Drosophila melanogaster: one gene and its partner. The protein of the gene in region 2 interacts with the protein of the main gene of each other region in a pairwise test. Each region holds a gene or a part of one and is shown on either strand. Other genes may lie near its edges. The genes, in order: CG13032 and Tk.

The links.
Region 1: the proteins of Tk (region 2) and CG13032 interact in a two-hybrid assay, tested with the Drosophila melanogaster proteins (one large-scale study listed by BioGRID).

Annotation. Positions count from the first base shown.
Region 1 is NT_037436.4:16,668,256-16,683,900, reverse strand, and holds CG13032 (uncharacterized protein), read right to left. Parts: upstream 9,938-15,645; 5' UTR 9,754-9,937; coding exon 8,356-9,753; intron 8,300-8,355; coding exon 7,926-8,299; intron 7,868-7,925; coding exon 7,657-7,867; 3' UTR 7,637-7,656; downstream 1-7,636. Other genes in the region: lasp, read left to right, coding at 2,531-2,663, 2,954-3,089, 3,969-5,093, 5,241-5,476, 5,543-5,722; CG43954 (uncharacterized protein), read left to right, coding at 5,729-6,085; zetaCOP (coat protein (coatomer) zeta), read left to right, coding at 10,402-10,419, 10,477-10,844, 11,357-11,447, 12,059-12,106.
Region 2 is NT_033777.3:11,995,213-12,011,372, forward strand, and holds the start of Tk (tachykinin), read right to left. Parts: upstream 10,262-16,160; 5' UTR 10,146-10,261; intron 8,305-10,145; exon of another isoform or gene 8,146-8,304; coding exon of another isoform or gene 7,086-8,145; intron 6,982-7,085; coding exon of another isoform or gene 6,564-6,981; intron 6,490-6,563; coding exon of another isoform or gene 6,275-6,489; intron 6,219-6,274; coding exon of another isoform or gene 5,998-6,218; exon of another isoform or gene 5,997-5,997; intron 4,228-5,996; exon of another isoform or gene 4,066-4,227; intron 855-4,065; exon of another isoform or gene 852-854; 5' UTR 811-851; coding exon 160-810; intron 1-159. Other genes in the region: Ect3 (Ectoderm-expressed 3), read left to right, coding at 5,998-6,218, 6,275-6,489, 6,564-6,981, 7,086-8,145; KLHL18 (kelch like family member 18), read right to left, coding at 13,201-13,683, 13,757-14,015, 14,078-14,931, 15,030-15,161; GCC185 (GRIP and coiled-coil domain containing 185 kDa), read left to right, coding at 15,719-15,748, 15,811-15,910, 15,971-16,160. UniProt on the Drosophila melanogaster protein: Tachykinins are active peptides which excite neurons, evoke behavioral responses, are potent vasodilators and secretagogues, and contract (directly or indirectly) many smooth muscles. Stimulates gut muscle contractions.

The DNA of each region.
Region 1 (15,645 bases), on a different chromosome or scaffold from region 2:
TGTGTTGTGTATTGTTTACAAATAAATTAAAATTCTTTGATAATAATAAAATGTGAAGCGCAAAAAAGGAGCAACAATTGCATCAGAGACATGCATTGTTGTTGTTGCTGTTGTGGCTGCTGCTGACGTGCATGTTGCTGCTGCTGTTGTTGTTTTTGTTGCTGCGGCTGATCTATTGGGAACGTGCTGAGACATCCGCTGGTGGTAGACGCTCGCCAATGTCGCCTCCGGGCGCTCCAGCATTGTTATGTCATCATTACCAGCTACCAGCAACAGTAGCAGCAGCAGTAGTAGCACAACTAGCAGCAGCAGCAGCAGCAGCAATGTGTGCCAGCTACAAAAGCAATTTGACCGACCGAACGCAACGGCAATGCGGACGATGCTTTCTGCGGTTCGGGCTTTGTACTTATTTCTGCCCCTTGGCCACCACCTCATCCTCATTCCCCTCCTCCGCCCTGCTCCTCCTGTCCTGCTTCTATCTGTGGCACACACATGCATCGCATATTGAACGATAAAGCAAAGTAAAGCTTGCAGCGGCAACAACAATGCATTATTGTTGCACTCTGGGTATACTCTTTTGCTGGATTTTTTACTTTTTATCAGAGGTATCTGTTTGTTAAAGGAATATCGAAGCAATGCCTTAATTGGCAAGGCGACTATTTAACCCGATTGGTTATGATAAAATTATGCATATATGGTATAATCCCAGTTGTCCTTGAAATTTTTAAAGTCTTGAAGTACCAGATAAATAGGATTTTGGTTTATACAGGGCATACGACATTCGTCCCTTTTCACGCAGTTTACACAAAGTCTTGTTGTTTGGAATTAGACCTACATGCATCGGTGCTCTCTCAGTGATTCTGGGTCTGCCGCTGCTCACACGCTTTGGTCATTAAACGGCCTTGTGCCACTATCAACTGTCCGACGTGCATATGTGTACCATTACACTATTATACCATTAAAGCATATATAGCATATAGCAATGTACCATATAGCGAGTCGTACCATTACCATCCATCTCGATGGTGCTGGTCACCTCTGTGCGTGTGTAACAGTTGGCATTGTTTTGTCGCTGGTTCGCATTCCACAGTGATTGCAACTTATTGTCAGTGGGGGGAGGAAAAGCTGTGAAAACAGCACCCCTACCAACTACCAACTACCTACTACCACCTTTCGAAAGTCGGCGCCAGCTGTAGGCGATTAGAACATCGCTAAAAAGCCATAAATATTCTATAAAGCCAATAGACTTGCATGCAATTACGTTTACAATACGGTTATATGAGGTTATATGTGGTTATATGAGGGTTGAGGGCTAATATGGCCAAAAGGCAGAAAGAGATACTTCCCCGCTGTGGGTTTATCAACCTCACGAGTCATCGAGTTTGGTTATCAGTTGGGCTGTTGTCCAATCGATCGATCGATCGATTAGCCCGCCGATAGGTTAAAGCACTCCGCTCATGGACGCAAACAAAAAGAGTTGTGAATTTATGGAACTGCACAGAACTGCGTTGTGTTTGTTTGTTCGCCATGATTACTTTCGCATAACAGATGCGCCATGTTTTTCCTTGCTGCTGCCAATAATTAAATTGATGTATTAGCCTGTGGGGACAAAGCAAGGGAAATTGATCCAAAAATGGCTATAATAATATCAACGATATTGTGTTTTGCTTTCATTCAACGTTTTTTTTACTTCGATATTTATTAGTTTAGTTTGGTGTGTTTATAAAAAAAAACTCCTTAAATCTATATAAATGAAAATGCTCGTCAGAAAGATACTTCTTCTATGAATGTGAATGAAATAGTTTTGCCATAGAATTTCCAATCCTCAAAGGAGATGGATGCTTTTCACATGCTTTGGACCATATATAAATTGGCTTTGTGGTCTTCCATTTAATTCCCATGCTAATTATTTGGATTAGGACTGTGCCTAGACAAGCGGGGAAAAGCTGCCCCCAAAGCTAATGGCGAATTAAGAGTAAGCCACTGAGGCTTTGATAAACTTGCATTTAGCCACAGAAAAATCACTGGAAGTGCATTCCCGTTATTTGCCAGAGGGTAACTAAAAAAGAAACCCCAATCAAACCACATAAAATACACGAAGTTTTTCTGCTGTTTTGGGGCACTGTTTTAATTGATAAAAGCAGAGGCGGCGAGGTCAGAGGTTTTCACACGAAGCCAACGTGAAATCAGAGATGGATATGCTGTGTGGCCTTATATAAGTATAAATACATGCGAATATGCATATGTATATTTCCCCTGCAGCAGCATCAGCATCTCTCATTCCACCCACTACCATTCGAGCGGAATTTCCGTGAATTCGAAAACCAAATCCAAGTTGAGGCCAGCTGGCGTGGAGAATTTTCAGCGAGAGCTCAGATTGCCAAAGGCAGTGTGCGAATGTGATGATGAACTTTATGTGCGGCATGCCACTGAACGAGCGGCTGTGCAACTGCAACGGCTTGCGACTAGATTTAACTTCTCTAACTCTGCTGATCTATAACCTAACACCACCCCCTCTTCCCTCTTGCAGACACATCCCGAAGGCGAAGGCAACGGCCATTGCCGATACGCCCGAATTGAAGCGCATCGCGGAGAACACCAAAATCCAGTCCAACGTCAAGTACCACGCGGACTTTGAGAAGGCCAAGGGCAAATTTACACAGGTCAGTGCGGAAAAAGTTAAGATAAGCTTAAAGAACTTATACTTCTGATGGAAGTTTATTGCCTAATTAGGCTTAATTTACTTGCGCGATGGATAGTTCTTTGAAATATTCAATATTCTGTTTGACATGTTTAACTAAATATAACTAAAGCGCGGCCCTTGTGAAGTTCACTTCAGTACAAGAACATTGATATATCCAACCCAAGTTTGAGATAATGCTTTTGATATATGTAAAGTTCCATCCGTCCATTTGGAGTGTGCCCTTACCTAAATTGCTTTTGCATTCGACAGGTGGCCGATGACCCGGAAACGCTGCGTATCAAACAGAACACGAAGCACATATCGAATGTGGCATATCACGGGGATCTGGAGAAGAAGGCGGCCATGGAGAAGCAGCGAGGATCCGCCGAGGTCTCCGACAGCAGCAGTGAGTACTCGACCGACCTTCTCCCTATACCCCTCCATCTGTATCTATCACTATTTCCATCTCTGTGAGAGGACTGTAACTATTGTATCTTTCCTACTCATCATCACTGGTAACGAAGCTTTATTGCTTGCAACCGCTAGTTCTCTTAATAACGGTCAGTTGGTGGTGGGCCGGGCTTACTGTTTTTGAATTAATTTATTCGAATTTCAATTGACTTAATGTGTTTATAATAGTCTATTGACGTCATTCACTCATGCATGCATTCAAATGGTCACGACAAAATTACAAAGCCAGCTTACAAAGAACTTGTGTAGCGATTGTTATTGATTTGTTTGTTAATTGAATTAAACATTTAAATATACATTGAATGTCACTCAAAATTACCACCCCTCAAAAAAAAAAATACGGAATTTTAGTATAAATTCCTTTTTCTTTCTTTCCTTTCTATTATTTTATTTAATTTACCTTATTTTGTATCCACTGTACTTTTACTTTGTGGACATGCATGTGGCATGTGTGTCTGAATTTGAACTTCTGCACTGTCCATCTAACTATGTTGTATCTATTTCCATCACATCTGTCACATTGTGTAATTAATATTGATTATAATGCCGTTTTTTTTATGGTTTGTTTTCTCTCCTTTTATTTTGTTGTGGACTTTGTTTATCATTTGTTGCCATTTATCCCACACCATCAACAACCAACTGCAACAATAAAATCAACAACATTATTTGTGTGCTTTCTGAACTACCGTTAACCTAACGTTACACACAAAACGAACACCACACACACATCCACACTAACAACAACGACTGTGGACAATGGTGCAACTAATTAATCGTCACCTCGAAATCGATAAATATCGAAAAAATCGAAAAGATGAATCGGAATACTTCTCAGAGCAATTGGCAGCTGAACAATTCTCGCAATATGCACCCACAGCCTCACCCATACCGCCAGCAGCGACAACACTACACCAGCAACAACAACAGCTGCAACACCAACAGCAGCAGCAGTACCAGCAACATCAGCAGCAACTGCAGCAGCAGCAACACCAACACCAACACTATCTGCAACAGCAGCAACAGACTCTGCCACCGCCACCCATACAACACCAGCAATACAACACAGCGGCCATAACGCCCACATACCAACAACTTCAACAGCAACAGCAACAGCAACAGCAACAGCGGGCACAGCAGCAGCAACTGCACGATCCCTATGCACACTACCAACAACCGCAGGCGCTGCGCCAGCAACAGCAACAACAACAACAGCAGCAACAACAGTTGCTGCAACAGCAAGCCATTAAACAAGCCTCACATCTGTATCCCACAGCAACATCCCAGCAGCAACAGATGCCGCCACCACAGTCGCCGGCGAATCCGCAGCAGCAGGCGCTCAACAGCTACAACGAGATGCGCTCGGCCATACTCCAGAACTCGCATCATCCCAGCGGCAATTCCGTGGATCAGTACGACCAGCCACAGCAGCAGCAACATCAGCCGCAACAGCAGAGCACCAACCCCACGCTGGTGGCTGCCCAACAGCAGCAATCCCATCATAGCCTACTGAACAACAATGCCAGCAACGGCGGCATTTCGCACAGCCACCACAGCAACATCAATAATAATGGACACGGCTCACAGAACCAAATGTTGCCGCCACAAATGAGACGCTCGGCGGCCAGTGTCGTCGCCTACGATGGCAATAGCAAGCAACAAGTGGCAGCCGGCCCAGGAGCTGCCCAAAATCACCTGCAGCAATTATACGCGTCTCCCAATTACGCCGCTGTGACTCCATCTGAGAATTCAATAAACGTTAAGCAGCACGCCAGCAATGGCCATATGCCGAACCAGCAGCAACAGCACGTGGCAGGCGGCAGCAATATCGGGAAGATAGCGGACTACGATCCACTGACGGATGGACCAAGGGTGGTGCCCAATGCCGGACGGTCCAGCACCACTTTGGTCTACAGCTCCGAGCCACGTGGCAATCAAGGTGGTAAGTTACGGAGCAGGCTAGCTGGTAGTTCGAGGTAGTGATAGTGCGCGCTCAGCTCGATGTTACACACTCATCTTGTCCTTGTCCCCGGCTAGTAGATATGTAGCCTAAACAGAACTAATGTCCAGAACTTTTATGTCCTCACAGGCAACAGCGTTTACCCCAAGCGGATTGGTTCGGTTTCCGATATTGATCCGGCCAATGGCATCTACGGATCGCTCACCGCCGCCGAGCAGGCTCACCAGCAGCAGAAGCACCAGCAGTACTACCAGCAGGTACAGATGATGCAGCAGCAGGAGCACCCGCCGCAGCAACAGCAGATGCGCCAGCAGCCATCCTACTCCTCCCTGCAGGAAAAACAATCGCGCCAGAGCACAGCAATGGTAAGTTTTGTTGGCTGTCTATTGTTTATTACAAAGTTATTTTTAACTATATGTCCCATATTTTAGCGCGTCTATCGGGCCATCTATGACTATGAGGCGCAGGACGTCGACGAGGTCAGCTTCCGCGAGGGCGACGTCATCTTTGAGGTGGAGTCAATCGATTCCGGCTGGATGACCGGACGTGTGGAGCGTACCGGCAAGACCGGCATGCTGCCCGCCAACTACGTGGAGCAGGCGGTTATATAATAGGGAATGTTCTACTACTGCTGCTGCCGCCAGCAGTTTGTGGTGATCCTCGTCTGCCTGCTCTACATCCTGCTCGTGCTCGCCTTCTTCGTCAACGTTTTTATCGCGGATCGCAACATGCACGCGAATCTAATGATGAGGAACGGTCGGCACGGCGGAGGTGGAGGAATCCCTCCGCCAGCAGGCATGCATCCGGGTCACCACAATCCGTACGACATGCATGGCTACAACCACTACAGCAACTACCATCCGCAAGTGGATTCCAAGCAGCAGCAGGAGTTGGCCAAAAAGACGCCGCAGCAGCAAGCCGAGCAGGACATTTACTACTATTTTAATCATGTATTCAGGCGGCGACGGCGATGATGTGGAGGAGTCACACGCCCCAACCAACAGCCCAAAATTTAAATTTTTAGTGCATTAACTTATACTGCATCCACTACATACATAGATATATATATATATATATATATACTATATATAGCAAAGCAGCGGATTATGTAAAAAGAGAAGAGGGAAATTAATTAATTAATTTTAAATTTATTAGTAATCCAACCAAGAACCAACAATCCGATATCCATCTTATTAAATAAACAAAGCCACAGCAGAGTTATGAGAAATCAGCCAGAGAGTCGAATGTGTTTCAGCTATGAATCGGCTAATATATGTCAGCGGAACATATATCTGCACCGATTCCAATAAGAAATTGAGCGACCAAGCTAACCCAGCCAAGTTTGCATTTATCTACAGCCCTTAATAAATCAAATTTATACAGATATTTATTGAAGAATATACAAAACGTTAACCAACTAATCGTACACTATAGCTTACCAATCATATACAAGTACGGATATCTATAAACAATTCGATTAGCTAAAGTGCTTCAGCATAACATGTTGTGGATAGCAAAATCCCAAGGCAAAGGTTTTCTAATTTAATTAGAAGTTCTCAAAGTAATACTTACACGGGGCAATAGCGCTAACACAAATTTCCCCCGAGTTTTCTTCGGCTTTCTGAAAGCTTTTCGCATTAGCAGCAATCCACTCGGATTCTGATCGCGTCCTTATCCCTACAATTTTGTCAATTTATCTGTGTAAACGAGGAGGACTTGAAGGATATTGTTCTTGTTTTTGCGGGGGAAATTCATGTTTTTAATATATAAATATTTTTGTTAAGAGAATAATAATTATATATTGTTTGTTTCTAGTGTTAAATTGAAGAAAGAGAATAAGGTGGAGATATCGTTTCGTTTCACAAAAGAAATCCTTGAAAGTGCCTTTAATTTGCTAAAACGTGTTTTTTAGATAAAACCAATTTACTAGGCTTATCAATAATAATGCATTAAAGAATCAATAAAAAAAAATATACTTATACTGTAACTTATACATTTTCATACCATACGCGAGCAATGGAGAACGAATTTCTAACGCAAATAATGAAGCAATTTACAAACGGCAACTAAAACTAATTTAATATGTGATTGCAGGATCGTTTTTCTATGGCAAGTCAAGCTATATATAATGTATTATTAACTTAACTTACAAGACACTCACACACACACACACACACACACATGCATAGCTATAGACAGCAATTAATAACAATTATATAGGCATAATGCAATTGGAAATGCTTCGAGTGGAAAGAAATCACCTAACAAATACTTGAATTAATCTAATCTTATCCTGAAATAGAAGCAGCGCCAAAGGCTTCGTTTTGTGAACGTGTTACAAATCAAATAAAAATTTATGAAAATTTAAAACTCATTGTTTTCGGTACTTCAGAATCAATGATGTGCATTGCAATGCCATGCAAGTTTAATAACATTCCAGTTACATATAAATATGTATATGGCATGACTTCTCGTCCAGTTTTTTTAGCATTGCAAAGAACATAAAAACTAATCAAAATAAAAATCGTGGTTTTGTTCATCTTCATTATTGAATGGAAGTCTCGCTCGTGCTTTTATCTGCATTTTTGCTACGATCGCTCAATCCCTTTTCGCGAGCTCCAAGTACAGTTTCAAGGATAATGGTCTTCGTACTGTTGATGGTGTCCTCGAAAAATTTGGCATCTGCGTTCTTCTCCTCGGTGATATACTCCAGCTTCTCTGTCAGCATTGTGATTTTTTCCTTGGCCAGTTCAAGACTGAAAATATAAGTAGTTATAGTTGATTAAGCGATGGGATTGCCGTGTCCGAACTTACTTATTCTTTAGATCCTCTATTCTGGGCTCAGGCTGTCCTGCCGAATTCAGCGTATTTGTGGACTGGTACTGGGACTGATTTTCGAAGCAGAAGGAACCAATCGATCCGTTAAGAGAAGTGCGACTCAGCGAACTGGCGTAGTCGGCCATTCGCTGGGTGCGTTTCTTCTTATCGGACTGCACATCGAGTTCCTTCTCCAGGTCCCTGATCTTGACCTCCAGTCGGCTGATACGGGCCTTTAACTTGCCAATCTGCTCCTGAGCTGCTTCGTTCTTGGCTCTCTCCGTCTCCAGACGATCTCCTAGAGTTTTGGTGAGCAACATAAGCTGATTTTTCTCCACCTCTAGAGCATCCAGGATGCCCACAAATTCCTCCTGCGGAATATAATTAAGCAAATTAATAGCTTATGTTTTAGTGTACAGAGTTTTACCTTTCGAAACTCGCGGCAGGAGAAGAGGAATCCGCCGGATAGGGCGCGCAGGTCCATTTCCAGCTTCTTGATCATATCCTGCAGACTGGCCATGGCCACATCCTTCTGCTTGACCACCGTCTGCAGCTCCAGATGCATACCGCTCAGCTCTTCCATTTGCCGGCGCGAAAGATCTCGCTCCTCGGTCACCCGGACCAGCTCGCCGCGCATGTCGTCCAAACGGTTCTCGTACTGAATCCTCTGCTGGTTCAGTTTGTCATTCATGGTATTGATATTGGTGCCATTGAAGTCGGTCTGCTCCTCCAGCTCATTGTATAGAATCTTGTACTTGTTCATCTCCTCGTTCAGATTCTTGTTCCTCACCTTTAGGGCGAGTGTCTTGCTGCGTTGATCCTCCAGTTGGTTTTGCAGGCTAAGAATCTCCTTTTCCAGAGCCTCCACCTTGGCTCGATGAAGAATCTCACTTTTACGCACACCCGGTGTAAAGCGATCGAAGCTGGCCGTTGTGGCTCCGCCGCCATCGCCTCCACCTAATCTCTCAGAGCTGGCATGATGTGATCGACAGCTGCCGGTTACCAACTCCAGATCCGAACCCAACGGCACTGGGGCAGCATATTCGGCTCGATCTACGGCTCGGTCCTCGTAGAAATCCAAGCGAGCCTTGAGCTCGTGCACTTTCTGGTTGAGCGCGATGATCTGCTGAGCACGACCGCGCCAATTGGCCTGATTAAGATTGTTGGCCAGGATGTTGATGTTGCAGCTCTCACCGATCTCGTGCTGCAGGCACTTTTGGGCCAGTTTCAGTTGGCTTTGTAGCTCGGTGTTCCTGTTTCGCGTTTCGAAGAGCTTCTGCTGCATACTGTTGATCTTGGCTTGGAGCTCATCGGGGGAGCAGCCCTTTTTTGGCAGATCCTGATTATGCTGCAGCTTCTCCTCGTGCGCACGCAGCTCCTTCTCCAGCTTCTCGATCTGAGCATCCTTTTTACCCAGCCGACTCTTTGCCTGCTCCAATTCGGAACGCATCTGGCGGTTCTTCTTGCTCAGTTCCAGGATTTTGGTGCTGGCAATGGAGGAGTTGCAGCGCAGCTCATCAATGGGCACGGAGTTGAGCACCTCGTTGAGCGAATCAACCGATTTCTTCAGGTCGGATATCTCCTGATTCTTCTCATGAATGGCCTGGGCCAGTGACTGCTTCTCCTGCTCGCATTCGGATAGCTTTTTGCGCAGCTTTTTGGACTCCGGCTTTGTTGGCTTTGGTTTTACCACAGCGGTGGTCAGCACCACATGGGCAGCGGCCATGGCATCATGGTCATGCCGACGTCGAGAGGAACGGCCCACTTTGCACCCCAACAGCTCCTGATCCCGATGGGCTACATACTCTTCCGGCAAAGTCTCCATCGCAATGCCCTCTAGTTGTTCACATAAAAATATACACAATTGAATCTAACAATTTCGTTGGCTGGGCGAAAATAATTTGTACGTGTGCCTGTTCTTGTTACTAAAATATTCACAAATTTTGGTTGTCATCAGTTGTTTCTAGGTTATTCAAATTTAAACCTCATTTGAAACAGACAAATCAAAGGCAAGGCAATTTTTAAATTTGGAACTCTTGTCATAATCAGGATTTCTTCAATAATAGGTAAGTTAAAAATAAACAGAGTTTCTGCAATAATAAAATTGACATTGACAATTCTTTTCTTGATCTTTCCAAACTGTTGTTTTATTTAAGACAGGATAATTTACATTTAAACCGTTATTCTTTTTTTACATTTACATTATTTTATTTTAAATACCCCAGCAAAGTACGGCCAACGTCAAGCAAGCCAGCCCCCCATGTGTTTCAAATTATAATTTAAAATATAATAATAAAACAACGATAACGGCTTAGCTAAAATTCAAAAATTTTAACAGTTTTTCTAGATAGTTTTAACTGTATCTAGCTATTTATTTTGTGACTCGAGTTGGCAGTACTGTTTAGTTGGTATAATTTAGCGGTCGCAATATGGTCATACTAAAGTGACGTGTAAGACACGAAAACAAGTGAAGATGGACGGATTTATGATGGTAAATTGCAAAATACACAAGTAACTGGCTTAAAATCAAACCCAACATGTGCTGCAGGATATCATCAAGGGCATGTGCATCATGGACAACGATGGCAACCGCATCCTGGCCAAGTACTACGACAAGAACATCCTGTCCACGTTGAAGGAGCAGAAGGCCTTCGAAAAGAATCTGTTCAATAAGACGCACCGCTCCAACACGGAGATCATTATGCTGGACGGACTCACCTGCGTGTACAAGAGCAACGTGGACCTCTTCTTCTACGTGATGGGCAACGCCTACGAGAACGAGCTCATCCTGCTGTCCGTGCTCAACTGCCTCTACGATTCCATTAGCCTGATCCTCAAGAAGAACGTTGAGAAGCGCCTGGTGCTGGAAAACCTGGAGATCATCATGCTGGCATTTGACGAGATCTGCGACGGAGGGTGTGTATTAGCGTATACAGTGATGGATGGAAAGAACAAGGGACCAAGTTAAAGCAGCTTTCATTAGCAGCAGTTCGTTTAGAAAACATCAAATTATTACTACACAAGTTCCCATAAATAACATTGTTATTTACTAGTCTATGAGTTAGGCCAGCTCAAGTGAAGCCTCTAAGTAGTTAACCGCATTTAAAGCTTCCTTTTTTTTAACAAAACCTAGTCAAGTCCAATGAAAAGTTATATGATAACTGCGATGTTAGGGTATAGGTACAAAAGTTTAATTATATAAATCAAACTAAATATTAAAATATATTAAACTTAAAGATTAAACTAATACATACGAGCACTGGCATCCTAGGCATGCAGCTCGTATAAGTTTTTAAGTTTATAGGCTGAGCTTTAGAAATCACCTGAGGTACAAAAAGATATACTTTGCCATTCATCACTGTATATTATGCATTACATATTATTAAATACAAATATTCTATTTAAACCTTTACCCGTTTTCCAAATAGCATTATTCTGGATGCGGATCCCTCGTCGGTGGTGAAACGCGTTGATCTGCGCAACGATGACATTCCCATTGCCGAACAGACCGTTGCCCAGGTAACTAACACCCTTAATGGTCTATTTTGGTAGTCTAACTACTTGGTAGCTCTTCTAAGTGTTTATAACTCAATGGTAGCCGTTTGTACTTTAATTTTGTCTGGTTTCGTTTCGCAATTTGATACCCTGCAGTCAAATATATTCTCATTTAGTTTTACCCGCCCTATGAACAAATAATTAGGCTCTTTGTTTTTCAAGACTATATGTAGTTAGTAACTGAGTTAATATAAGTTTACAAGCTTTACACATTTGCCTAGATTTATTTGTTATTCGCATTTTTGTTTAATTACGATCTATTTTCAGTTTCAACAAAAGTGTTTAAATGTTGTAAAATTGTACCTATTTTAATGAATGCTTCCAGATAATATTACTTATTACAATTTAAAGTAGTTGTGTCGGCGTAAATTTCTTTTTACCTTTTGTACATGTTACCGAATTTCGATTACTTTTCCCCATATCGCCCCATTCATTGTACTCCGAGAATGTTCAAAATAAAATTGGTGAAAATGTTCTGGAACTTCGCGCTCATTTTGATTTGTTTCATTAGCTAATTGATCGAAATTATTGCCGAGTATCTGTATCTATATATGTGTGTGCTATCTATCTTTTAGGTTCTGCAATCGGCACGTGAACAACTCAAATGGTCCATTCTGAAGTGATGTGAAATGGGGTGGCGGAAGAGAGGAAGCCACTTCCGTGCCGCGTTGTCGCAATACATTCGATTCTTCTTTTAGCGCCCACTTGTTTTCGCCTAGTTGTAAAGCATATAATAATACATACATTTAACTGGAGAGCACTGCATGTTTTAATTTAGCATTAAACTACTAACTCGGTGTGTCATAGAGTAGCCAAAGGCACCGACGGGCGATTGGAGCTGCCAAGTTCCGTTTGCGCCACTATAAATCTTTTGTGCGTGGTATGCAATCGAGTTCTTAGATAAGGGAAATCACCTGAATAAACAAGGACTGTATTTAGGCAAATCTAATAAAAGCTTTGAAGACTTTCCAGACTAATACTGAATGTATTAAAGAGTATTCCCAGGTTCGTTGCTATCGAGCTGCTATGGCTTATCGCAGAACTTTATGGTGTTACTGAAGTCCACAATAATTCTTATTTTGCTTAATCGATGAAGTAGCGCAAGTAGCCATATAATGCCAGAACTGACCCATTCAACGCAACGCAGATCGGTCAGTATTACAATAAGATAATGCAGGCAGGCATTATGTTGCAACTGACAGCGCAATCACCAATCATATGCAGATGGGGTAAATCGAAACCACTTGTCTCCAGATACGAGGATAAAGTATGTCGTAAACCCACGTGACCAGCTGGTGTCCAAGCAACTTGGCCTGAAGTGGCACCTAAAACTGGGAGTGCTAGGGTATTAAAGTCTCTTTACGAGGCAGTGCTAATTATTAAGCGATTAAGCACCGATAATCTCAACATCTTTATAGTAGGGGGGCGCATAAAAAAGTTCTATTTGAAGAAGCAGTTCCAAACGGCTTTCAACAGCTTTGTTTTCTGGCAAACTCAATGTAAGGGCATTGGCACTTAAACTCATATTTGTTTGATTTATGGCCATTACAACCAAATGGATTACCTCTTCGCCATCGCATGGGGCTATTAAAAGCTTTAGTTATGAAATGAAGTTCTGCGTTGCAGGAAAAGAGGGCAATTAACGAAGACTTGTTCAATTGGGGGACTTACATATCATCTCTCTAAATTGCCTTATTCCGTAACTCCGTTTAATATCTAACCAAACAATAAAAAACAAACAGCTAGCAATTGTGATTCACTTGTTTTCCCACCTCTCGATCGCATGGCCAACATGCTATCATTCAACTTCAACCTGCTGCTCGTCCATCATCCAACGTACACCACCCATGAACCGCAGACGTGCTCCGCTCCCACTGATATATCCATCCACCCACATCCACATCCACCCCCGTTTACCCATCGTTCCTTAATCAAATGCTTGTCAACATTGCAGCCAAAACAATAACAATTGCAAAATTAAGCGCCTCGCGTTTATCTGCCTTCTGTGTTGTCGAATTAGACAAATAACACCCAAGTGGGGGGAGTCAGTTGGGGAGGTAAGTAAAGTACACAGCTATATGTACATATCTATCAGCCGTAGGAGCTGTGGTATCGGTACCGCACTTGATGGATGGATTGCCCGGGATCACGTTCAGGAATTCTGGCAAAGGCGCAACGTCCCCGGAATTAGCTGCTTACGTGGTTGGGTGATGACAGGGGCTGCTCGAATCACAGATAGGATCTCATGGGTTCTTCTACTCAGCTAATATAACACCTATATTTCTTTTTGAAATACGTTCGGAATGATATATAGATTAGGTGTCGTGAATAAAAGATGGAAAAAGTTGAATCGTTTTTTTCTGGAAATACTTTAACTTCTAACATATTTAGGTATTAGATCATTTAAAGCAAAGTACATCCCCATGCCACCTTAAAGTACAGTTACCCCATTAATTTATACCCAATATCGGGTTCTCAAGTATACTCCTGCACTATCAGGGGGAAGATTGAGATTACTTGGGCACAGAAAGAGGTTCCACATGATTAGCGCCACCGTTCCAAAAAATGGGTTCCAATCGGATTAAGATTTACGATCCCGATCGCCAGCCCCATCAGATTTATATAATGCCAACGCGCTGGTATTTTCGGGAGAGGACTATTTGGCATTCAGTCAGTCATACGATTTGTGCGCCTGACTTCGGATTCTTGTCTACTGAAACGGAAACCCACAACATCTGGAGAGGTTGAATCGAATCGAATCGAATCACGACTGATACTGGGAAATGATTGGCGACTTGTTTTTCGGGTGTGTACATATATATTTTGAACGATTGCCATTAATTCGCTGAATTTCAATCTCGCCTGTGGTAAACAAAATAGTTTAAATTCCATTCCGCAAAATTCATTAGTAGTAACTCTTCACGTGCCAACTAATTGAAACTGAACGAATTACGGCGAAGTGAAGGCGACTGCTTTGGTTTTCCTTACTTTTTATCATGCCCGCATTACCCAGTAAGTGAAGCTAATATCGAATGAGGGGGCCCGTTCCATAAAATCGACTTTATGGCCTTCAATGGGTAGGAAAATTTTCGCTTTTCGCACAAATTTCGCGGTTATTGCAGGGCCATGCCCAAATGTCTCTATCTCGAAGCGTGACTCTTTCTCAGCTCCCAGACGACTTGCAAACAGACAATTAAGACACCATATATGTATAGTGTGGGATGGTATGGAATCAGAGCACATCGACTGTCCGATAAGTGGATGGCTCGAGCAGCCGGCGACCTTGGCAGTGGAGTGGGGTTTAGCAAAGTGCTGCCCAGCAACTCAAGAAGCACCCCCCCAAGGAATCCCACAGGTCAGATCCACCTCGGTCCTCCATATCGGTCAATGGGTTCAACGCATCGAGAACCCAGATCGCAGTGAACCTCCGTGAACCATGAGTGCCCGATCGAAGCCCGATGGCGAACCGTTAATTTACGATCCCTGACAGTGGGTCAAATCCTCTCGGGCTGGCTGGCCAGTTATCTTCCATTATCGCGATAAGGCCTGAGTTCTGATCGGACCAGTTGAATTGAGCTGGACTGGTATGGGTTGTTGTGCTACCCGTTTGAATTGTGTTACTGGGGGCCCTGTATTTTAATTACATGTTCTTTCGAGTGCCCTGTTTTCGAGTGCAGATAGTTGCAAAACAATTCTTCTTCCAGTATGCAAACAAACGGTCTACCCCCGTAATCCTCCCCTGCGATCAAGTGTAATTTCTGTTGGTGCTGAAGAGGGACAAGTGGCATTCCAAAACTGTAAGGCTTGTGCTCAATTTGGAGTAGAAATATTTCTAATATAGAGGGTTGTCGATATGGGTTTTTCAAAGTATTGACGTTTTTCATAGTTGGTTATTACCCGAAATCTATATAAACGGGAAAAAGATTAGTTGCTTATATCTTACATTCCCAGAAATCTAGTTAGCATAAACAAATTGGTAAATTTGATATTTATCAGAGCACTTTAGCGTAGATCATGATTACTAATTCTTGAAACACAACTCAAACTATTTCTCGCTGTGCTTGTAGTGTTGTAAATGAATTCTGGCAAATTCAGATACTCTTACGATTAAATCGATGATTTGACAATTTGGTGCGCTTAAGAGCTGAGTGAAACCGTTAAC
Region 2 (16,160 bases):
ACATATGTATAGATATGCAATTCAATGGTTTCTTTTATGTATTATTCAAAAAAAGACTAACACTCTGATTTGCAATGGGGTTTTAGTGTTTTAATAAGCGCATCAAGAGAAACCACTGTACTTGCCACCAACAACTAACTGCAAGGTAAGTCGACTTACATCGGAGAGAGCTGCACGCTTGTAGTGCTGGTGGGAGACGTCCTTCTTGCCGCGCATCCCCACAAAGGAATTGACCGGCGCCCGCTTTTGTTGCAGCTCCGTGGCCTCGTCCGCCTCCGCGTCATCGTCCCCGGCCAGCAGGGCGGGTCGCTTACCTCGCATGCCCGTGAACCCGGTGGGCGCTCTCTTGCCCACCGCGGAGCCATCACGCCCAGCCACGCGATCGAAGAAGTCCTGCAGCAGGCTATCCCGCAGGCGCTCCTCCTCCAGGCTCTGCAGGACATCGGACAGGCGGTTGTTGATTGGGATGAATTTCTTGCCACGCAGGCCAACAAAGGCCAGCGGTGCCTTCTTCAGTCGCCGCCCGTTCTCCGCGTAGCTGCTGTCCGCCTCCTCGTCGGCGTAATCCAGCGGATCGGGTCCCGATCCCAGCCAGTTACCCTCCGAGGTGTCGTGCTCCTCGTCCTTCTTGCCGCGCATCCCAATGAAGCTGGACGTGGGCGCCCGCTTTACCACCCGACGCGGCTCTTCGGCGCCGGGCGTCAGCGGGCTGCCGGAGGACTCCGTCTCCGTGTCCGCCGCACTCGATGGTGCCGTCAGCAGGAGCAGCAGCAGCAGCGCCAGCGCTATCAAACCGCTCAGAGGGCGCATTGGATGTGGCGAGCTTTTAGGCGGGCGTGGAAATCGATGCGCTGCTGGAAAAGCGAAATTGGGGAGAAAATCGATGATTTATTACAATGTGTAATTAGGAAATAATGTTAATGTCAGATAAATATCTAGATATTTTATTACATATTATCACAACTAAATGTTGATACATCTTCATTTTTAGCTGGAAAATAGTTACATAGGGTATTAAAAAGGGCTTATAACTACAGAAGAGGTTAAATATAATCACTCTGCCACATTTTTATTTATGTCAATTTAATTTGACTCTACTCAGCTGTTTTATATAAATTAAATGAATTTAGCTTGTTTATAAATACTTAGTAATATTTTCTACCTCACATATGCAATTACAGAAATACAAAAATTACTACAGATATTATAAAGAAAACGCGTATGAAGTGTGTAACCCTTTAAAAATGTTTTCCATTTCATTTCCTGCTTTGTTTGTTTTGATTTTCCTTTTTTATTTTTTTTTGCTATTCGCATATACTTGCTTTAGTGCACTTAGACTCGCAAATTCCCCGCGGCGGCGTCTACTTGACCTTTTTGTACTCGTGTTCTACGGTTCGCGGAGTGGTGTGAATAGGTTAAGGAGCTTGGTGGGAAACAGAATGGTTTCCAACATACACACTTATGCAACATTGTATTTGAGAAAATAATAATACAAACTATGTATAATACTAAATATTAAATTAGTATCGGGCTTAAAAAACACAAAAATAATACTTAAATTCTATGCAAATGTAAGATCATAACCAATGAAATTCCCTATTTTTAGTGGCACCAATATCTGCGGAAGTATCCATATACATTTGGATGCTCATGAGTACTGGCCTTTAGTCGAGATGCAATCGAGTGCAAGTGCAACGTCGGCTGATGCTGCAACTCATGATGCAAAATGCAAACACAAAGGACGAAGTGGGGCAAAGTACACTGAGGAATTGAAATCCCATGAATTTGATTTAAGGTTACAGCTGTGTAGATATATGATTATAGGATTTTTATTGATATATGTATATGCATGTATTTATTTTACATATTAGATGCAGTCAGTTATTTTATAAATCAATGAATTTTGAGATATTTAATATTAAAACCATTGGTTAAGTTAATTTTAATTTAATTGTAATATAAATTTATCGTGTCATTCTTACAACTAGATTTTATTCCTATACTTTTAAGTGCAACATCCCATGCCGCGAATATCTCTAACGAGTTGACGCCACGCATGATTATGCCACGCCTTGTAAAGTGAAATTGCCATGCAAATAAACCCCTGGCCTGGTGGCTTAAGCCCGTCGGGGAAAGAAGGTTGGGGGGGGGGGGGCGGATGGTGTCGAAGTGGCAGCTGCAACAGGAGCAATAGATGGTAAAAACTGTGGCGACCTCTAACGATGCGATGCGCACAGGAAACAACAAACATGTAATTCAATTGATTGCCACCGGCGGCGACAACCGCAAACAAGCAAACATTGCAGCATCGAGCAGAAAAGTGCAGAGGCAATTCAATTGAACTTAGCGAAATGCATTTGAATTCAATTGATGTCGAGTTTGCCACAATCAACAGGTGGGTTAGGCACTTAGGGCTCATCGTTGTTATGATTACGACGGCTCTGTTTGCTTGGAGTTGGAATGGAGCCAAAGTGCTGAAAGGCCCCAAAGTTTGATGTTTTTTTTTAAGGATAAAAAATATAGTTTTAGGGATTAGAGGAGAGGCTCTCAAATGTCAAAGCATCAGAACATGTCGGCTGAACTTTAAACGAACAGTGGGCATGAGCAGTTTGCTTAAAAAACCAGGATATTATTAAAGTGAAAGTCATTACTACTTGCTACTTTTAAATTTTATTGTTTGTATTATTCTCCCATTTTAATTAAAGCGCTTTTAAACTACAATTATTTTTGACAAGAATTTTCTTTTACCTCGAAATTTGCCATTTTATCCCACCGTGCGCACTGCGGCCAACTAATTCCAGCAAAGTTTGCTGCTGCAAAATTAACAGTGTGCAAATGTGGCGAACTTCCGGTTCTCGAGCTACCTGGTAACGGCTCGTCAAGCCACGTCCTGGCAGGACATGAGGAAGCCAGGACATTGGGCTGACAGGCGGCAGTTGGACAATGGAATAGCACTAGGAAAACTCAACTCCCACCGCTGCCTTAATGCGGATAAGCTGTTAACTTGGCCGTGTCTGTTGTCTAATTGTCTATGTAGGACACTCTCTGTCCCAGAACGTGCGTGTGTGTGTGTGTGTGCCTCGGGGTGTGTGTGCATCCCAAAGGACACTTTAAACTGCCGACAGGCGTGCGAGATTAAAGACGTGCCAAGTCGTCCTACGTCTAGATTTACATTTTGGCCAACACATTGTTTGCTCGGCCTTTGGTTTGCGTGTGTGTGTGTGTGGGTGTGAGCCTTTTTTCGTGGTTGGGTAATATGGGCCCATTAGCCCAGTTGTAAGCAAGGACTACGCAATGTGAACCAACAACAGGCGGACGGAATCAGAGAGGCCCAGCCGAAATGTATGAAATTAATAATAAAACAACATGAAAAACTCACTTTTCGGCCAATTGCCCGCGGCTGCATTTCCATGTCACCCTATTTTGCATGCGAAAAGGAGGCCAGAGTTCAGGCCAAAGCAAATACACACACTTAATGCATAAAAAATGAGGCGTGACCATAATTTGAAATCGACTCCTTTTCTTTTCTACCAGCAGCTGCAGCCCAATTTCGAATTTCCACCGGCATGCGTGTGGATTTTAAATAAATTTACATTAATTTTTTAGGAAAACGACTTCGACATGCTCTAGAGGCACGGAATATTGAACAGCAAACAATGGATGCAAAAAGGGATAGCATCAATAGTAGTAGGTTAAAAGTCAAGGATTATTTGATGTAACGCCCGTCTAAAAGGGCTTAAACAAATGGTTTGTTTCATAAGAACACTTATTTTTTGGCTATAAGTCGGTTAAATCTATAGAAATAATAATGTGGTGGTTAATAAGAAAACTAACGCTTCAGTTTTGACCAATAATGCACCTCTAATTGTGTTGTTTCTGATTCATTATGAATTCATTAAAATATTGTATACATAAGCTTCTACTTCTTTAGTTATTTCTTTGTTCCATAGTTTAGCACAAATGTTGCTCAACAATGTTGCCGCTGCGCTGCAATTGCGCTGGCCTCATGTTGCCAGCCGCGTCTTCGTTCTGTTCTGCACTTAATCGCGGTTTCTGGTCACCGCACGATCAGTTTGAATTTGGATTTCAAGCGGAACAGTTGGCGCACTTTCCACCTAGTAATTGCAACCATCGCGATCGTATTCTGTGTTTTTATATCGTCTGTGCTCTAAATCAACACTAAAAAGTCAAACACTTCTTTCACTGCGTGTAGCTGCAATCGGCGAGGTAAGTGTCATATGAATAATTGGAGATCGTTTGGATGGCTTTTTTTTTCGAAACAAAAGCTGGACTTATTTCGAAAGAAAAAAGCGACGATCGCCAACTTTCTCGTCTAATTGCCAGTAAAGTTAAGCGGAACACGCAGTGGGAATCCAGCTTTGTAAAGTCGGTGGTAACTGGCATGCAAAATAATCTATTTAGGTCAGATGCCTAAAATTTACGTTGCGTTCTCGTTCCGATTTTCCCTTGGGTACCTACTGTATATATTCGAATTTCGTAGCTTAGGCACCCATATACGGGAAGTTTTTTGATGGAGGTGTATTTATTACAGGTTAATTTAGAGATCATTTGGTTAGCGGGGAGCACTTGCCTTATCGGTTTAAGAGTCATTCCATTCAGTGATAAGAGATACGGAATCACAGCGTGTAAATCACCGTCGGATGTAAGCATTTGTGTATATTTAATATTCAACTTAATTCAATTAAAATGTTTATTTCATGTCAATAAGGCATGACTTAATTACATTGAGTATTTGTCTTAGCCAAGCAATGAAGATTTCCTAAAGTAATGGAAATGTTATATCCATTAGATGTAGAGCAATTTTGAGTTCATTGGGGCAAACATTAAATAAAATAACCTCCTGACGAAATTAGTCAATTATAGCACTTTAAAATGCCTAAATGAATCGTAATATGAATTTATAAAAAACTTTCCAAGCAGCAAACATTTATAAACTGTTGACGGACAAGCATCAGAGGATAATGAATCACAAAAATGATTTTTAATAAGCATAATGATGCTGAAACAACATTTCATAGTTTAGCGTAATCAAAATAATCCACATCGGGAATAAAAAATTAAAATAGAACACAAACACACGTAGCATTCGTTTGTCAAATCGCATAAAATGAAGAAAGTGAAGAGCAAACAAATGGTGCCGATAAGAATGAATTCATAACAGAGTGTCCGAATACAGAAATAACAATTCATTATTATTGTGGAACAGCTGCTGTGGAAATGAAAAAAAAAAAAAAACAAATTGTATATGAAACACTACTCTGCGCGAAGAAGCCAGATTAAATAATTGACTTAGGCTGAGCTTGCATTAATTAATGAGACCCGAAGGGAATGCAACAGCAGACCAAACAGAGCTCCAGCCAAGAAGTTCAGGGGCGGTTTGAGTAAATGGAATTAATTTCAAACAATTCATAAGCAAAACAAACAAAAGATTTTATCGTTTTGTTGTCACTAAGCAATTGAGCCGTGAACTTCAATTGAAACATTTCAACTGAAACGAGACACGCTTTGCACTGCGATGAACTCAACTGGGCTGATTTAGATTGATTCACTAGGAAGCGGAACGGACTGGGTCTTCAGACTATCCGGAAGATAAACGTTGGCCAGAGAAAACAGAATACTTAAAGGAATTTGTTGAGTTATTCGAGAATCTATTAAAGAATGCACACAATACGCTTTCTTTAAATGGCATAAAACATTTATGTATGGTGGCGTACATAAATCATATTTAATCATTTTGCTGCGTATCTTTTTGTTACTTTCAATTACTTTTACAGTTACAATTACTGTATAGCTTTGGCAGCGCTTTTTATCAGGAATAAAATGATTACTTTTTTGTACTAACGAAGCTAGTGTGTAAGAGTAATCAAAGTAAATAGATGTGAATTATTATCTATATCGCTTTAATGATAAATATAATGAAATTTTTTTCCCAGTATCTTAATTGATATATTATCTTTCCTACTGCAATCCTTTAGAATGAAGTTCAGTGTGGTGGTCCTGGTGGCCCTACTACCGCTGCTAGGAGCTGTTTCAGCGAATCGCACTTTTGTGGTGGACTACGAAAAGGATCAGTTCCTAAAGGATGGAGAACCATTCCGATTCATTGCCGGCTCCTTCCACTACTTCCGTGCTCATCCAGCCACCTGGCAAAGGCATCTTAGGACCATGAGAGCTGCGGGTCTGAATGCGGTGACAACGTGAGTCACTACTATGATTTTAATGGTTCGATTGTCATGTTTCCATTAACTACAAGCTATGTGGAGTGGTCATTGCACAATCCGCGGGATGGCGTTTATGTGTGGAGCGGCATTGCCGATCTGGAACACTTTATACGCCTGGCCGTGGGCGAGGATCTGCTGGTCATCCTCCGTCCGGGTCCGTATATTTGTGCGGAGCGTGACATGGGCGGCTTTCCCTACTGGCTGCTGAATAAGTATCCGGGCATTCAGCTCCGGACAGCAGATGTCAGTAAGTATTGATACTCCTTTTGTTAACTTTTAAGATTACTTATGTTTTACTGCTTAATTCCAAAAATGTGGCAGATTATCTTAGCGAAATTCGCATTTGGTATACCCAACTGTTTGCCAAAATGAATAAATATCTGTATGGCAATGGTGGGCCAATTATAATGGTTCAGGTGGAGAACGAATATGGCTCCTTCTATGCCTGCGATCTCAACTATCGGAATTGGCTACGCGATGAGACCGAGAGTCATGTCAAAGGTCAGGCGGTGCTCTTCACCAACGATGGACCCAGTGTGCTGCGCTGTGGAAAAATCCAGGGCGTCCTAGCGACCATGGACTTTGGAGCAACGAACGATCTCAAGCCCATTTGGGCCAAGTTTAGAAGGTACCAGCCAAAGGGTCCGCTGGTCAATGCGGAATACTATCCCGGTTGGCTAACTCACTGGACGGAGCCGATGGCCAATGTTAGCACCCAATCGATTACTTCCACTTTTATGTAAGTTTCCAATTTGGTTTGGGCATTGATTATTATGTGTTATTTAAAGAATTAATATATATTTATATATAATATCGTATATATAACCTTGCCTTGGCTTCCAGAAACATGCTGGATCATGGTGCCAGTGTGAACTTCTACATGTTCTACGGCGGCACCAACTTCGGATTCACAGCTGGTGCCAATGACATTGGACCCGGAAACTACATGGCTGACATTACCAGCTACGACTACGATGCACCCATGACGGAGGCGGGGGATCCCACTCCCAAATACCAGGCCCTGCGACGCATCATTGGCCGCTATCTCCCGCTGCCAAATCAACCCGTGCCCGGACCCGTACCCAAGCGATCCTACGGAACTGTGCGTCTGACCACCTGCTGTAGTCTGCTTTCGTCGGAGGCTCGATCTCGTCTCTCCACTGGATTTGTGCAGTCCGCCAAGCCGAAGAGCTTCGAGGCTTTGGGACAGTACTCTGGTTTGGTGCTCTACGAGACCTGGTTGCCCAGCTTCCAGCGGGATCCGAGCATCCTTAGCGTTCCCGGACTGGCGGATCGAGGTTACGTTTATGTGGATGGTGAGTTCGTGGGTATTCTGGCCAGGGAAACCCCCGTGTTCGAATTGCCACTCAGTGCAAGTGCCGGGCGGAGGTTCCAGATTATCGTAGAGAACCAGGGTCGCATCAACTACGGTCGACAGTTGAACGATTTTAAGGGCATCCTGCGGGATGTTCGACTGGACAAGCAGGTGCTGAGCAACTGGAACATGACCCAATTCCCACTCGAATCGTACGACAACCTGGAGCAGCTGATTACCCAGTCGGATGAGGCAGTTCGTCAGGGCTTCCAGGAGCTAAAGAAGTTGCGCACAATGCTGCGCACTGGTCCCGCCATTTACCACGGTCAACTGGACATCCAAAAGGAATCTGATCTGGCGGACACCTATCTGGACATGTCCGGCTGGGGCAAGGGCATTGTCTTTGTGAATGGCGAAAATCTCGGCAGGTATTGGCCCCTGGTGGGACCTCAAGTCACCCTGTATGTTCCGGCCGCCGTGCTCAAGGCGGGCTCAAATCGACTGGTGGTGGTGGAGTATCAGCAGACACCCGCCTCACAGGAGCTGCACTTCCGAGATACCCCCATTCTGAACGCGAGGACCGTTTAGTCGTCGGCCTAAGGACCATTGCGACTTGCATCCATCGCTGTAGCCATAAATCATGCATCATCATCCGTATATGTAGATCTAAATGTAAATTTATGCGGTTTAAGTTCTTTGCAAGACATTAAAGCAACTCCGAGACGGACGCGTCCTGTCTGCCTCGTTATCCCTTTTGTAAAAGACTCATTAAAGCTGTTGTGGCATGCGGGGATGGATTTACAGGCCTGCCATGTGTGACCTTTGTGCCTGGGCCAAATTAATCCCTAATGATTGAAATTGAAATCCACAGAAACGCTCTGATGATGAGTCAAAGTAAGTCAAAGGCGAGTCGGAAAATGAGTCGCGTCTTGGTTCGTTGATTTTTTAGGTTCCCAAAAGTTTTCTATGACAATCCCACTCCATTCTTTTCCGCTGGCATTCGGTGTTTTTTAAGAACATGTTAGATTACCGCTGTTGTTTTTGAAATGTGTACATGTCGTGGAATTTTGCGATATTTTTGGATGAAGTTTTCCAATGAACTGACCCAAAATATATTTTGTTCATAGAAACTTAGGCGTGTCAAGTTGTTAGGATTTTTAAACTTTCTTATGCACAGATGTTCTAAATAGTGCTGGTTATTTTTTCGCATTCTGTATTATTTTCCCTATTAATATTTATGCTAAATTAACGAACTAATAGTTTCATTGCCCTTCAGGTCTCCCAAACTGTCCTCGAACTGTAATAAAATATTTACCCAAATTGTGTACCTGTGTACCTCTACGTTGACATTTCACGGAGTGCTCCCGGGCCGGAGAATCACTCCCTACTTGACCATCTCTTGTTGCCGTAATGAGTGAGGCAGCTACAGTTAATTAGTCCTGACTCGCACACATACACATTCACATGCAGTGGCTTACGTTTTAAAGGATCTTTCTTTTAGGCGCAGCTGCAGCTCAAGTATTTGTGTTTTTTTTTGCTGGCTACACATGCTGTAATTGCTCTGTTCTCGTTGTCCAAGTTGACATAAAACAAGTTAAGACCCAGGGGCAGTTTTAAAGCGCCGCCTCATGTCACCCGTGGCCACCCAGCCAGTCCAGTGGCTTTTTGGGAGAGTGCTTCCCTAATGGGATGGCGTTGCGTGCTGCCACCGGATGTGTGCCATCGCCATCCCAATCCCGGAATCTGATGCCCTGCATTGATGTTGCTTTTTATTAGCTCTGCCCGCTGGCTGTCAATTGATGATGGCCATCCTCCATAAACAATGTTTCAGCTTCCGCCGGACCCAAATATGTAAAAACAAAATGAACTTGACTGCGAAAGTCCTTAAGAACTTGGTCAACTTTTTTTTTATATCACGCAAACGTTAGAAGGATCTTGTCAGTTAATCAGACCAATTAACACATTATTGCGAGTGTTTTTTAGTTTCTAATATTCCATTAAAAACTCTATAGACTGCAGTCTTAATGTGCGAAATTTGTCAGCATTAAGTGAAAACGTCTTGTTTTCTCTCCTTTAAATTGGCTGAATGCCACCCAAGAAGTTTTATGGTCAGACTGAACAAATGTGCTGTCATAAAAACTTGTTGATTATATTAAGCAGACCCCAGAGATCAAATGGGATATAAAATCTGATAACAAATCTCAAACATTACTCTTAACATGCCGAAGCATAAAAGTTTGAATGTGTTGTGTTTTTTTTAGCTAATTTTTGACAAATGCATTATTATGACAAAGGCAATTTGTTTTAAAGCCATCATTTCTTTGAAAAGCTTTTCTTAAATAGAATTTCTGAAAACTACTTTTAAAAATACCATAGTTGGTAGCTTCGAACCTACTTTATATTTAAAGATACAAGTTATCTTTGATCGCGCCAAAAATCACTAACAATTGCAAAGTTTCTATCTATTTGATGATTGTTTTGTTCAGAAGAAATAATCACTGCTCGAAATATTTGAGCAGATATCATGTTAAATATTAAGCAAAAAACTCCACCGAGTTAATAAAGTGTTCATGCTGAAGTTCACTTACAAGTAAAGCCAATTCGCTTGGGAAATATCTTTCACTTTCAGTTCTATCTAACTGTTTGTCCAAATGCTCGCGTACCGAACGCGCCGAGAAGTATGCAACAACTGAGCGACAGATCGAAGCGACAACGGACCTTTATAAAAGCGGCAGAAGGATAAGGCCGAAACGAAACAGGAAGCCCGACCGGCAGGACACGAAGTTCAGCGGAACACGAGCTGCCTCGGCTTGTGTGTGTATGTGTGTGTTTGTGTGGGTGTGAGGGTGTGTGTGTGTGCTCGTGGATATCAACAATTGGTCGAATAGAATCTGAAACGATACGAGGTGTGAGTGTGTGAGTGTGCGAGTGTGGCGATGCGGTGTGTGTGCTCTTTTATGCGGCCGCCACTTCAGCGTGGAATAAAAAATTGCCTCCTCGCCGGAGCAATTGAATTGAACGGAAATTCTGTTTGCATATGTGAATAAAACATATGCAAAAAGTAGGCAAAATGCGAAAAAGGCATAGGCACAAAAGGAGCAAAAGATACGAAAAGTGAAATGAGAATGGGAGCAACAGCATCCAAACTGGCCAAATGGGAAAGTTTCGCGTATAAGGAAATATTAATTTCGTTTTATATTACGTATGTAGTCCCGTACTCGTTGCTGTTTTTGGTTTATTTTAATATTTATGATTTACCATATGCCTGCGAGATGGACAAATAAAAATTATGCACTTTGTTGATTTTTCCCGGGCTGTTTGTCCAAAAAATTTGTAATTAAAATTGTTCCCATATGACGCATATAAAGCAAACAAAACATTGACCTTTCAAAAAGTGTGTTGGGTGTTCGAAACATTTATTGGCTACAAACGAGATATGCAATGAAAATAGACTACGTTCTTTGGAAATAGTTGGTTATAAAAGAATGTTGTGCTTTTTTATGTATATATTGCAGTATTTATGATTGCATTCAATATATTAGCCATGAATATTTTACATTTTAAATACATCAAAATTATTACGGAATCGATTCGATTCGATGCAACTATAAGATGCATTCCATACCTGGAGTCTCATTTTGACTTTTGAGCCGTATTTCAATCATTTTGAAATAAATCAAATTTAAAGCGGCCAAGCGGGTTCGTCTCAAATGCGTCACAAAACGAGCCGGAAAAGTCGTTGCAGCCAGATTTCAACGGGTCGCGACCATCAACAATGCACTTGAGGCGAGGTCGCGGCATTTGAGATAAGACAACACCCGGATCACCCGCATCACCCGCATCACCCGCAGCAGGCGAATCCCTCCACACGCCACTCGGAAAGGCCAAGTGGATGCCACACACATCCGGGGGCCAGCTCGTTGCAACTTGCAGCCACTACAACGCCAGTTTTTCGGTCTAAAATTAAACGTGGAAGCATCGCCGCTTCCTGCAGGCATCTTATCTTCGCATCCTTTCTTGCAGGACTGCCTTCCGCCTTTTCGGGCAATTGAGTCGTAAATGTTACAGTGTATAGAGAGCCCGCTGAAAAATTTGCATTTAAATTGCAACAGATTTCGGGGCAAAAAAAAAGCCAATTCCTCACCCTCCAAACAATTAGACGGATTTCCAACTAAACGAGCTCCAGTTTGGTGGTGATAAACAATTGTCCCCGGTGATGCAACAAATATTTACTCCAACCATTTGGTAAACATAATTAGCATTTAATTAAAATAAAATTGCCCATCGATAGACAAGCAATTTGTGATTTGATTATCAAAATCAAATAAGACCGCCGCCACAAAGCCTTTTCGCTTGTGCAAATAGCCGTGCCGCTGCAGAGCCACATAAATATACATGTAGCCATTGGCAATCGGGAACAGGACCGGATCGTATCCGGATCGGCGATAAGGTCCTCCATCGCTGGAACCATCTGATAACTGCGAAATATGTACGTTAAGTGTGCAATTGATTGGATTATGACCCTTTGCTGTGCGTATGGCATTTTATGGGTCAGTGATAGACGGCAAATTGATTTTGTTTTGGTTTGGTTTCGTTAGCCTCTATTTTTGGATGCGCCATTGCCACCTGTTGCTCCGAATTAGTTTTGCTGCCGCTGCACTTTGAGCAGGTGGTGCAAATCGAATTTAAAATTGCATTCCGCGCGTGGGAGGTGTACAAATATCAAGGGAAGAGATACTCCGCATGTTCAACTGAGATGCAACGAGGGAAGGTACATTTATTCGTTACAAAATAAGTAGAAAATTGTAGATAGACATTGGGACTTGGGTAATAATATTTAATCATTTTTAATTAAAACTGAAAGTATTTTAGGGACAATAAACAAGTGCACTGCCTTCCATAAAGGCCTGCTTATTGACCATCAACTTTTTGCGCTGCCCTCGCCATTTTCGCCTTTTTGTCGCTCAGATTGCTTTGTTATTTGTCAACCATTTATTATTGTTCAAATAAAACGTATCCGCCGCCCATATGGATCGTCGAAACACAATTGATTTATACGATGTGCAAAAGGTTGACAGTCGTCCCTTTACTGTAAGGAAATTACTGAACTTTAACAACCTTCTAAAACATTTCAAGATTACAAATGGCGAGGGTAATGACTGAAAATGAATACAAAGAATACGTCTTTAGATAACTTTAATGTTAAGAGTCTAGTTCAATTTAAATTAAATTAAATAAAATATGATTTAAATTGGTGTGAAATTGATTTTAGTTATACATAGGACTATTTTACCCGTCTTACAAAAATAAACCAACCATTAATAAATTTTTACATAACATGCGTTATACATGTTTTTATTTGGAGGATTAATATTGTAATGAGTATTTAAGGCTAGGCGTAGTAACTAAACAATTACATAACTGGAATGACAAAATCTATAGAGCTGTGAGTAGTATATGAACAATTTTGATAGAGCTGCAAGAGCTGAGCTGAGTTGCATACGAGGCGGCCGCACGAGGTGCCACTAAAGCTTGGTTACCCTCAACAATCATATCTAGGCTAAACTATATCGATTCAATTCACATAAATTACCTAAGACGAGTGTGGCTAGAGAAACGGGTTTGGCAGGCGAATCGAGTGGGTTACTCGATCCGTATGACCCCGGCTCCGACACCACCACTGTGTGCGCACATGGGCGGCATAAAGGTCCATTTGTCGGTCTCCGGATCGTACACCTCGACTGTAGACAAATTTGACTCGCCATCATAGCCGCCGATGGCCCACAGTTTGCCCATGTTGGCGGCCAGAGCCACCCGCGAGCGTTTGCAATTCATTGGTGTCACCAGCTTCCAGGTGTCCGTCTGAGGGTCGTAGCACTCTACGGATCGAAGGAATGAGTTGCCGCAGTAGCCGCCGCACACGTATATCTTTCCGTTCAGCGTGGCCACGCCCAGTCTACAGCGACGATTCAGCATGGGCGACATCTTAACCCAGACATCTTCGGCCTGGTCGTACCGCTCCACCGAATCGAATATGGACAACCCATCATGACCGCCAAGGGCGTAGACGTAGCCGTTCAATTGGGTAACTCCACCAGCCGAACGATATTTCATCATTTGAGCAACCTTCGGGTAGTGAAATTAAAGTTGGATCAGTTTTCTTACCCATCTGGGTTACATAGAATGTTTGTTTACTTACAGTCTTCCAAGTGTTAGACTTTGGATAGTAAACTTCAACGGTGTTGAGCGACGTGACGCCGTCGTAGCCGCCGCACACATAGATACAATCATCCAATGCGGCCACGCCCACGGCGCTGCGTTTGCAGAGCATGGCACAGCCCTGGGACCACTTGTTTTTGCGCGGGTCGTAGACCTCAACGGTGGACAGACGTTCGGTGCCATTGAATCCACCAAAGGCGTACAGCTTGCCATTCAGAACGGCCACACCCACGCGAGATCTGTCGAAAAATTGGCAATTAGTATGGGATAGAATAGAAATAAATGCTCCTCGCACACTCACCTCATCATGGACATTTGTTCGCCCATTTTCCATTTTTTGGTGAGCGGATCGTAAATCTCGACCGTGCTCACAGATTCCCCAGTGCTGGCCAGTCCTCCCACGGCGTATATTTGTCCGGTAAAGAACTCACCGGATCTCTGGCGCGTGCGAAAGCTCTGCAGCAGACCCCTGCGCTCGGGCATGAGGTGAAAGTCCTTGGCCTCGTCTAGGAGATCACGGCATTGGTGCGAGGATCGAATGAGTTCCTCGCGGGCCACACGGTCCGCCAGGAACTGAGGCGAGAGCAATGGCAAACGCACTGCAGCCAGGACCTGAGGAAAGAGCTCAGAGCGCTTGTCTTCTGCGTACTTGACCCACTTCATGCAGGCCTCGAAGATGACCTCCTCGGTGCGTACGTTGAGTTCGTCCCGGCGCATCAGCTCCAGCAATTGTTCGCAGTCCAGGGCGAGAAACTCCTCCGACTGCGAGACTTTGGCAAAGTTTTGATCAATATACTTGTCGGCAGCGTCGATTAGCTGCCGGCAGATCATGGAGTCGGCGAAGGTGCGGATTCCCAGGACATTGTGCGGATGAAAGCGGGAGATCAGGAAACTGGCACAGGCATCCCGCACGTTGGACAATTGCAGGAAGCTGGCGCCCACCATCAGGTTCTGCACATTCTGGTTGTCGATGCGCACTTGGCCGCTGTAAACATAGTTGATCAGACTCTCCAGGGCACTTGGCTCTATGGCGCTCTCCTTCATGGTGATCTCCTTGATCCGACTCTCTGCCATGTTGTTGGTGAACATCGCATAGAAATACGGGATGGTGGCCGCCAGCACAACGCGGTGCGCTGAGAAGGTCTGATCTTCAACCTGCAATAATTGGGATGGCATTTTATATTTAGACGCTAGATAATGAACGTATCTCTGAGCTGCGGGTGATTGAATGCCCCAGTCTGCACGCAAACAACCTTTAGGGTGACATCGCACAGCTTGCCCATCCTGCGGATTTCCTTGAACAGGGGGAAACTCTCGCCGAATAGCTTATCATGCTTGTAAACAAAGTATTGATCCTCCACTTGGCTATTATCACTCAAATCCATCACTTTAACGGATCAAGAAAATGATAAACAGTAGAGATGCCAAATGTTGCTTGTACTGCAGAGCTAGTGGTGGTCAGTGGTGAGCGGTCACATTAATCGATAGTTGAGGTTCCTTCGATAGTTGAACAACACCAATAGTAGTGAAACAAATTTATTGAATCATATTGTTTAATTTTAAAGGTAACGTTCTTGGACCAAAATGTAATTTCATAATACTTATTAAAAAGTTGAGCCCTTTTTATGCAACAGTGATAATTAAATCCTTAAAAAGCACATATTTTTAAGACAATATTATTCTTTCATTTAATTTTAATTAGTAATTTTTCCGTTTTTGCGTCACCTTCTTAAAAAAAGACGCTCATCACTAATTGGGCGGTGATGACAGCCCTATCAGCTGTTAGTGTGGCTGGAGTGTTTTCTTCGCTCGGATTGATTAAGGGTCCAAAAACATTTTCGAGTAATCTGGGTCGCTTGCTAATTGGAAAACCACTGATCTGAGTTAAGACATAAATGTTTGGACCGCTATTAAATGCAAGGATACGAAAATAGCAAGTAACATGGAAGCCGCATCACCGAGGGAAACCCAGGTGAGTAAAAAGGTGTCGCTAGAATTGATGATGACGTCTCATCTTGTTATTTGCATTTGCAGAAGAACCCGAATCCGATCGAGGCGCTGAGCAAAGATGAAATCATCAGCAAATACAAAGGCCTGCTCAACATCGCTAAAAAGGCGAAACAGGCAAAAGATGGTAAGTTTGATGGAGAGTTTCAGGGAATCTTCCAGAATAATGCAAGCCACTCTCTTTCAGAACTCACCGAGGAAAATCACCGACTCAAGGATGCCCTTAAACGGGCGGCGGAGAAGCAGAGCAGCCTGCCAGCCATGCAGGAAATGGTCCAGGACTTCACCGATAAGAACCTCATCCTCACCGAGGAAGTGAATAATCTGAAACGAAAGACCAAAGAGGATGCCGATCGACTGACGCAATTCGAGATCGA